2 linked regions of the Saccharomyces cerevisiae S288C genome follow. Changing the gene in region 1 together with any one later gene gives a genetic interaction. Each region holds a gene or a part of one and is shown on either strand. Other genes may lie near its edges.

Region 1 (5,425 bases):
GACGTGCCATTTTTTTTGGCTTTAACAGATTTATTTGTATCGTTTGAGTGTTGGGTCGAATCCTGTTTCAACTTTTTATTGTTGCTAAGTTTAAGTGACTGTTTTAAAGTTTGAAACGTAGATTGAGGTTTCTTTTCTTGTTTTGCCGTTAATCTCACGCTATTTTTCTTTGTTTCTCCCCTTGATAAAACCATACCACTTTGTTTAATTTCCTGAGAGTTATCAGACGAAAAATGTAGACCTTGTATCCTTCATAGGTGAAGGAATACTTCCTCCGTAATAAGGTAATTTAAAGTTCATAGTTCATTCACTCTTTTTGTTTACATCTCCGTTCTTCGTGATAAGTTCATAGATAATAAGAGAACAAAGTATTTAACGCACATGTATAAATATTGTATTAAAAGGGTACCTTTATAAATATGAGATCCGAGGGACGTTTATTGGAATTATCTTTTAAATCGTCTATATCACATATTCCAGTATACATAAGTTTTAATTTTAGAAAACGTTTAAATAAACAAAGAGAAAAAAAATAAGACACAAAAAATAACAGTATCTTTATTCTTGACATTCATAAAAATGCATGATAATATTGGTTTCATGGGGTAGTACTTGTATTATTAAAAGAAAGGAACAAAAAATTCATTGTTCAAAAGCTTAGAGATAAAAAAAAAGAATTATAGACACAAAAGAAAAACATGGGTTAACATTAATTGACATTAATAATAGAAAGTGTAATAAAAGGTCATTTTCTTTTAATCAACTCTCTTTCTTCCAACCAAATGGTCAGCAATGAGTCTGGTAGCTTGCCAGTGAATGACCTTTGGCATTCTCATGGAAACTTCAGTTTCATAGTCATACAATTGTCTAATGGAGTTGTAAACGACATGTGAACCCTTAACACCAACGACAGCAGCAGTGTCAGAAATGGTCTTGTCATCAGCGTTGAAGTTTTCTTCGGCAGCACGAGCTTCAGCAATGGCAGCTTGGTTGTCTTTGATGAAGCCGACAGCTTTAATGGCCATTCTAGTGGCTCTTGTTCTATCAATTGGAGATGGCAAACCACCTTGTTGTACATGACCTGGATAAGCTGGCTTAGCGTCAAATCTGCCATCGGCTTCAGCAGTAATAACTTCAGCCAATTTAGTGGCTGATAAAGCCTTAGAAGCGTTTGTACTCTTCAAAATCAATTTACCAAATCTACCTCTACCTTCTGCCTTTTCAAAAGATTGAGCTAAGTATTCAATATCCTCGGACAATTGCTCCAAAGAAATACCTTCTTCTGGGACATAAGAGACTTGAGCACCAACAGCCAAAGAAGCGTAAGTGGCCAAATAGCCTGAGTTACCACCTTGACAATCGACAACGAAGGCTCTACCTCTGGTTGAAGAAGCGGATTGTTTAACAACATCACAGTATTCCATTAGAGCATTCAAAGCGGTATCAGAACCCAAAGAGTATTCAGTACCTGGAACATTGTTAGACAAAGTAGCTGGTATCAAGACCATTGGGATTCTGAAAGCTGGATAACTTTCTCTTGCTCTCTCTAATTGATGTAAAGATTCAAAAGCTTCGAAACCACCAACGATGATCAAACCATCAAATTCGTACTTTTGGAAATAGTAAGCAATCATACCTAGATCTGCTTCTTCTGGAGTGACTCTGTTAGTACCGATTTCAGAACCACCACGGGATTGCCAACCCAACATATCCTTCCAGTTCAAAGAACGAACACTTTCATGTCTTGCCAAACCAGACCAACCATTGTAGATAGCGTATGGTCTGTGACCTTGGGACATACAGTAAGTAGCCATCGAGTAGACGGCAGAGTTGATACCACCAGCTGGAGCACCGACATTAACAATGGCAATCTTCAGTCTCTTGTCCTTTGGTAGCTTTGGTTCGTTGTGGTCAGCAGAGTTGATAGCCATGAAATTGTTTAAATGTTCAATGAACTCAGTGTCTCTTAAAGACATAGCTCTCTTGAAATCCTTAGCTTGAATGGCTTCTGCAACTGCTTTGGTCAACTTGACGGATTCCATTAATGGTTTACGAACAATTTTGTTTTCGTTAACAGCAATCAATGGTGATGGGGTGTCTGGAGTGGATTCCAAAACGGCATTAACGGCCTCAAGACCTTGTAAAGTAGCCAAGATACGGTCGTAAGCAACAGCAGTACCACCTCTTTGAACGTGACCTAAGGTAGTAATTCTTGTATCCAAACCTAATCTGTCAACTAGAACTTTGTGGACGTCGCTTGGAGAAATTGGGGTCAAGTCAGCAGCGATAGCACCTTCTGCAACAACAACAATGGTGGTTCTCTTACCCCTTGATCTGTGCTTGGAGACAATGTCACACATTTGATCTTGCCATTCGCTGGAAGTGGCTGGCTTCTCTGGAATAAAGATATAGTCAGCGGAAGTGGCGATACCAGCTAATAAAGCTAACCAACCACAGTTTCTACCCATAACTTCAACAACGAAAGCTCTTGAGTGAGAGTTGGCAGTGGCTTCAACGTAATCGATGGCCTTACAGATTCTGTCCAAGGCAGAGTAAGCACCAATAGTAGCATCCGTGGTGGACATATCGTTATCAATAGAACCGACAGTACCGCAAATATTCAAATGCTTCATTCTTTCGTATTGTTCGTTGGAAATTCTGTTTGTTTTCAACAATTCCTCGATCAAAGAAGGCCATTCTGATCTAAACAGATCAGCACCAGTCAAAGAACCGTCACCACCACAAACGATCAAAGCATCGACACCGGCCTCAATCAAATGTTGGGCACCCAATAATCTACCTTCGCGCTTCTTGAATTCCATACAACGGGCAGTACCAATGTTGGTACCACCTTCAGCAGACCAACCACGGACGTCTTCCCAGTGGAATTCCTTGATGTATTCTGGACCACCACGAACCAAACCTTCATAACCTTCCATGACAACAAAGGCACGACAACCTTTGAAGATAGCGGAACGCACGATGGCTCTAACGTTAGAGTTCATACCTGGAGCATCACCACCGGAAGTCATGACGGCAATTGCCTTTTGAGGCCTGTTCAATGGCTTTGGCAGAGATGGATAGGTGTCGGTGGTTTTCATACGGTAAGCCAAATCAGTGTAAGAGTGAACTTTAGAGGAAAGACCAGACTCAGCAGAAGCTTCTGGTGCTGGTGGTGGAGTTGGCTTGGTTGAAACTGCGTTCTTAGTAGAAGTAACACCAACAACGTTACCTAATGGGTCCAAAGTGTACAACTGCATTGGAAATAGTTCTGTTGGGTAGCCTTGAAGAGGAGCGTTCATAGCATTTAGAGTGTCCTTGACTGCCAAGATGTCGGAAGTGTTAAATACCAAGGATTGGGTGGCATGTGATCTCCAGTCTTGAGTCTTGGTAATACTGTTCAATTCCTTCAAATGAGCCTCAACATTTTTATTGATTTTTTCATCAGGACGTAGAAGGATCTTCAAAGAGATGGAATCGTTAGACAATAAAGTGGAGTTTTCATCTGGAGAAGAGCGGTTTTCTAATGACAAAAACTTGGTGTAAAAATCTATGGCAGCTTTATAAGATTGAACGGAATATGCAGTGACGGTACAATAAGAAGTACCATTCACAAAAGGAGTAGTAACAGTCATTGCGTATGGTTAGTTCTTGGCCAATGCTAAACTAGTCTCTAAATCTAGTTCTATTGTTCAAATGAGGTATAAGAAAGGCTTTTAAGCAAGAAGAAGGAAAAAAAAAAAAAAAAAGGAATTTTCTTCTTTATGAAACCGAAGATAAGAAGCTTTTAATCAAGGAAGTAATAAATAAAGGACAAAAAGAAGAAAAAAATATTATTGTTTTATAAAATGCAAGTAGGAAAAATAAGAATGAGAGCGGATAAAAAAAAGGCAGGAAAAAAAACAACAACATGAAGCGAGAGACTTCATTGCGATGTAATAAATGAATGGTAGATAAAGACCGGATGGAAAAAAAGGCCGATTTAACATGGCAAACAAAAGATTACATACGTACTGATCAAATTGATCAATTCAATATCTCTGTTTTCGTTTTTAACATTCAACTACCGTCATAGCGTTATACGTAGGAAAAAAAAACCGCAATCACGTAACCGTGGCTTCCACTAATCGGCTCTTGTGCCGTCAGATTCCGGATGTACGGGTGGACGCCATTTGGAACGAAAAAAAGAAATTGAAAAAAGTGGAAGCTAGAAATCACTGTCTTACCCTGGACGGTATCGTATATAATGACTCCGGTTTTTTTTTCTCTACCCCCTTGCCTCTTACCCCGGATTTTACCCAACTTTATCTTAATCTTCGTTTTCCTTTTAGCGTGGAGATGGTAAACGCTAGCGGTAACGTTAACGTTGCAAAGGGGGTATGCGGGACTGGCTGAAACGGGCGATGATACGATGCAACAAAGCAGCAGAGAATGGCTATGAATAGTCTTTACACCCACAGTTTTTCGTGTGGCAGTTACTATATATTAGTAGGATATTCGATCTATATAGATGGTAGTACTTACAATGCTGTTCTTGGGTTTTTGCGGATCTTCTTTCTTTTTTGTAGTTTTATTTTATGTCTTACTTCTTATTTCCTTCTTACTTCCTCATTGGTTAAGGCTCACGTTGATTGCAATAACAAAGAAGTATATACTGTAGCATAGCTCTTCATATCATTTTTGCCGTGCATTCGAAGACTATATATATATATGCATATTGTCTGACCTTTCGCCTTAAAGTAAAGAAGACAACAGAATATAACCATGCTGAGTAGCAGTAGCAATAGACCCATATCTGCCCATCTAACCATCCATTACAAGGCTATTCAGGAGGAAGAGGGGGAGGATATGAGAAGCGGTGCCGGAAGTGGTGGCCATCATGACGACTATTTTCTGGAGAGTAACAGATCTCCCACTCCTAATAAGAAACATGAGTTCATTAAAACGGTGCTCAATATCAACGATAACGACTCTGAATTTTCGGAATCGTGCTCACCAAGAGAGAAGTTACATAACGAGGGGGCTTGTAATACAGACCTGTTCGGGGACTTCATGTCTAAAAGACAACAGAGGCTGTCTAATTCTATGAACATTTACGACCTTTATCAGTGTGTACATAACCTGTCGCCTAGCAACAACAACCATCAGTTCATAGCAAGAAGGTTCAGCGATTCTCATATTCCCTCCTTGCATCACCGCCAGCAGCAACAGAAGGTAACAACAAAAAACTTTGTACAGCCCACGAAGGACATTCAAAGGATCGCCTCGTACGCTGCGGATTCAGACCAGAGAGTCAAGTATTTACCAAACTATCATCAGTCTGCTCCTTCTACTGCACTGTCTGCGGCTGAATCGAAAGCGGCTGTACCAAGAAAGCTCCCTGACAGAGACAGTACACAAAATTACGTACTAAAATTGCAACTCT
Region 2 (3,066 bases), on another chromosome or scaffold:
ATTTATATACATCAAGACATATTATTAAGTGTATAGGCGTGACTTTGACTATATATTTGATTTGTAACGAAAGAATACATCAAAATTCAACTATGAAATGGTTATTATTGTGCATGCACATCTTGAATTATCAAAAAGGTCTTAAATGTTCTTCGGACTTTCTTGAAATCTTCGAAAACTGATGAGAATTCTTCATTATTTTTTTTTTTCTTCTTTTATTATTTTTTATGTTTATTCCATATATACACTTATAATTTTTTTTTTTGCGATTAATATAAGTTTGCCTGGATACACGAACATATATATGATTAAAATGGTTGTCTCGAACAAAAAAATTCACTTTTTAGAGGGGTTTCTTATTTATTCGTATATGTACGTAATTTTGATGTTTAGGAAAAATTCACGGAAAAGAATATATATTTGAACAGAATCAAAAATTAGGAGGGAGGCAAAGAAAGTAACATCAAACGAGTTGAGCATATCCAACTATATTATTAACGTTAAATGCTGTCCTCTAAGACCTTATTCAGTTTTTGAATCTTTGTAGAAATGCTTAAGTCAACAGTCTTGTCACCAAGTTCTACAATCAAACCACCCTTAATCTCTGGCTTAACCACGTTTTCCAGCTTCAAAGATTTACCTTGCCCCACCAATTTGGAGGCGCTCAAAGCTTTTTCAATCCTCTTGAAAGATTTAGGATCCAATGGTTCAGCACTAGTCACTGTACCTTTAAGTAACCCGTTGTGAGCATCGTTTAAAACGCCAAAGTCAGACGCAATTTTTTCAAAACATCCCAGTCTGTTATTTTCGGAAAGAACCTTCAATAGGTTAACGACATAACCATCCAAATTCTTGTGAGTCTCCACGATGGCATCAATGACAGAATTTCTGTCCTTCAATGACAATGCAGGATTCAGTAATAAGTGACCTAATTTTGGATTCTTTTTGACTGTGCTTTCAACTTTTTGCAAAGATTGAAAGGCAGCATCAATAGAGGAGTTCTTTGCAGCGGCCTGATATAAAGCTGTTGCGTAAGTGCCCTCAACACCGAACAATCTCACCGGTGGGGGAGCAGCAGCTTTGGAAGCAGCAGCTCTTAAGCTTGATGCAAATGACCTGGTAAAGACTCTATTAAACATGATTGTCCACGGTTTAAAAATAATGCGGTAACTTGCTAATCGGTTCTTACTCTGCGGAAAAATATCTCAATGCCACAGTAGCCTGCTTAAATTTCCAAGTTGACTGAATTTTGTTTTCAATGAGATAAAAACTAGAAATACTGTACACAAAGTTAACAATTGGCGTTTGAAATTGTTCCTAGATAATTGAAAGTTTTACTATCTCGCCAAAAGATCACTTCATTATCTTTAATTCCTTGTTTTTCCCACCCGGGCCCGGGTAAATGATATTTCAAATATCAGCATCTTATTGGCCAGCACCGTCTCTCGAAAGTGTCCACTTTATGACGACGGCATAAAATATAACGATTTATTGGACGTAAGTAGTTTTATAAGTTACTAAACCAAGATTATTCCGGCAAAAAAATGAACTTTAAGAGATATCTGAGCGCTTCGTATTTCTTGGTAGTCCCTTATAATGTACTACATTTATGTAGACCAGGTTTGCAGCCAGATCTTACGGGAAAGAGATTTTACGGCTCCCAGTCCGAGCTTTTCCATATACTACTCTAATATACAATGCATTCTTAGATTTCTTAACTGCTGCATATGCTGTCTTTGGTCCTTTGCAAGCCTATTACTGCGGATTTAAGTTTTTTCCACTGATCGTTACCCGAATTTATGGGTTCTGAAAAATTAGAAGATGGAAAATTTTTCAATACGCGATGAGATGAGATAATTGTATATATGTAGTCGCATCTTGATAGGTATGCAGCGTACCATACATTGAGTAACAATAAGCACTGTTACCAATAAATATAGAGCAAAAAAAGATGGAAAAATCACTAGCGGATCAAATTTCCGATATCGCCATTAAACCGGTCAATAAAGACTTCGATATTGAAGATGAGGAAAATGCATCTTTATTTCAACACAATGAAAAAAATGGAGAAAGTGATTTAAGCGACTATGGAAATAGCAACACAGAAGAAACCAAGAAGGCGCACTATTTGGAGGTGGAAAAGTCTAAGTTAAGAGCAGAAAAAGGTTTAGAACTAAACGATCCAAAATATACAGGTGTTAAAGGTTCAAGACAAGCATTATATGAAGAAGTTTCCGAGAATGAGGACGAAGAAGAAGAAGAAGAAGAGGAAGAAGAAAAAGAGGAAGATGCTCTTTCATTCAGGACAGATTCTGAAGATGAAGAAGTAGAGATTGATGAAGAAGAATCAGACGCGGACGGCGGTGAAACGGAGGAGGCTCAACAGAAAAGGCATGCACTATCGAAACTAATTCAACAAGAGACTAAACAAGCTATTAACAAACTGTCTCAATCAGTTCAAAGAGATGCTTCGAAGGGTTATTCCATTTTACAACAGACAAAATTATTTGACAACATCATTGATTTGAGAATAAAACTACAAAAAGCTGTAATTGCAGCAAATAAGCTCCCATTAACTACAGAGTCCTGGGAAGAGGCTAAAATGGATGATTCAGAGGAAACAAAGCGTTTGCTGAAGGAAAACGAAAAACTGTTCAATAATTTATTCAATCGGTTGATAAATTTCAGAATAAAATTCCAACTTGGCGATCATATCACTCAAAATGAAGAGGTGGCGAAGCATAAATTGTCCAAAAAAAGATCTCTCAAAGAGCTTTACCAAGAAACTAATAGCTTAGACTCAGAACTAAAAGAGTACAGGACTGCCGTATTAAACAAGTGGTCTACCAAAGTTTCTTCTGCATCAGGTAACGCTGCTTTATCATCTAACAAATTCAAAGCTATCAACTTACCTGCAGATGTACAAGTCGAAAACCAATTATCCGATATGTCCCGTTTGATGAAAAGAACAAAGTTGAACAGGAGAAACATAACGCCTTTGTATTTCCAAAAAGACTGTGCTAATGGCAGGCTACCAGAATTGATTTCTCCCGTTGTCAAAGATAG

Evidence for each region. A genetic interaction does not mean that the proteins touch.
Region 2: mutations in PFK2 (region 1) and ATP5 together harm fitness more than expected from each alone (negative genetic interaction), as found in Saccharomyces cerevisiae (2 studies listed by BioGRID).

The regions. Positions count from the first base shown.
Region 1 is NC_001145.3:671,132-676,556, forward strand, and holds PFK2 (6-phosphofructokinase subunit beta), read right to left. Parts: upstream 3,636-5,425; coding exon 756-3,635; downstream 1-755. Other genes in the region: INP1 (Inp1p), read right to left, coding at 1-194; YMR206W (uncharacterized protein), read left to right, coding at 4,765-5,425. UniProt on the Saccharomyces cerevisiae protein: Catalyzes the phosphorylation of D-fructose 6-phosphate to fructose 1,6-bisphosphate by ATP, the first committing step of glycolysis.
Region 2 is NC_001136.10:1,057,676-1,060,741, forward strand, and holds ATP5 (F1F0 ATP synthase subunit 5), read right to left. Parts: upstream 1,140-3,066; coding exon 501-1,139; downstream 1-500. Other genes in the region: rRNA-processing protein BFR2, read left to right, coding at 1,952-3,066. UniProt on the Saccharomyces cerevisiae protein: Mitochondrial membrane ATP synthase (F(1)F(0) ATP synthase or Complex V) produces ATP from ADP in the presence of a proton gradient across the membrane which is generated by electron transport complexes of the respiratory chain.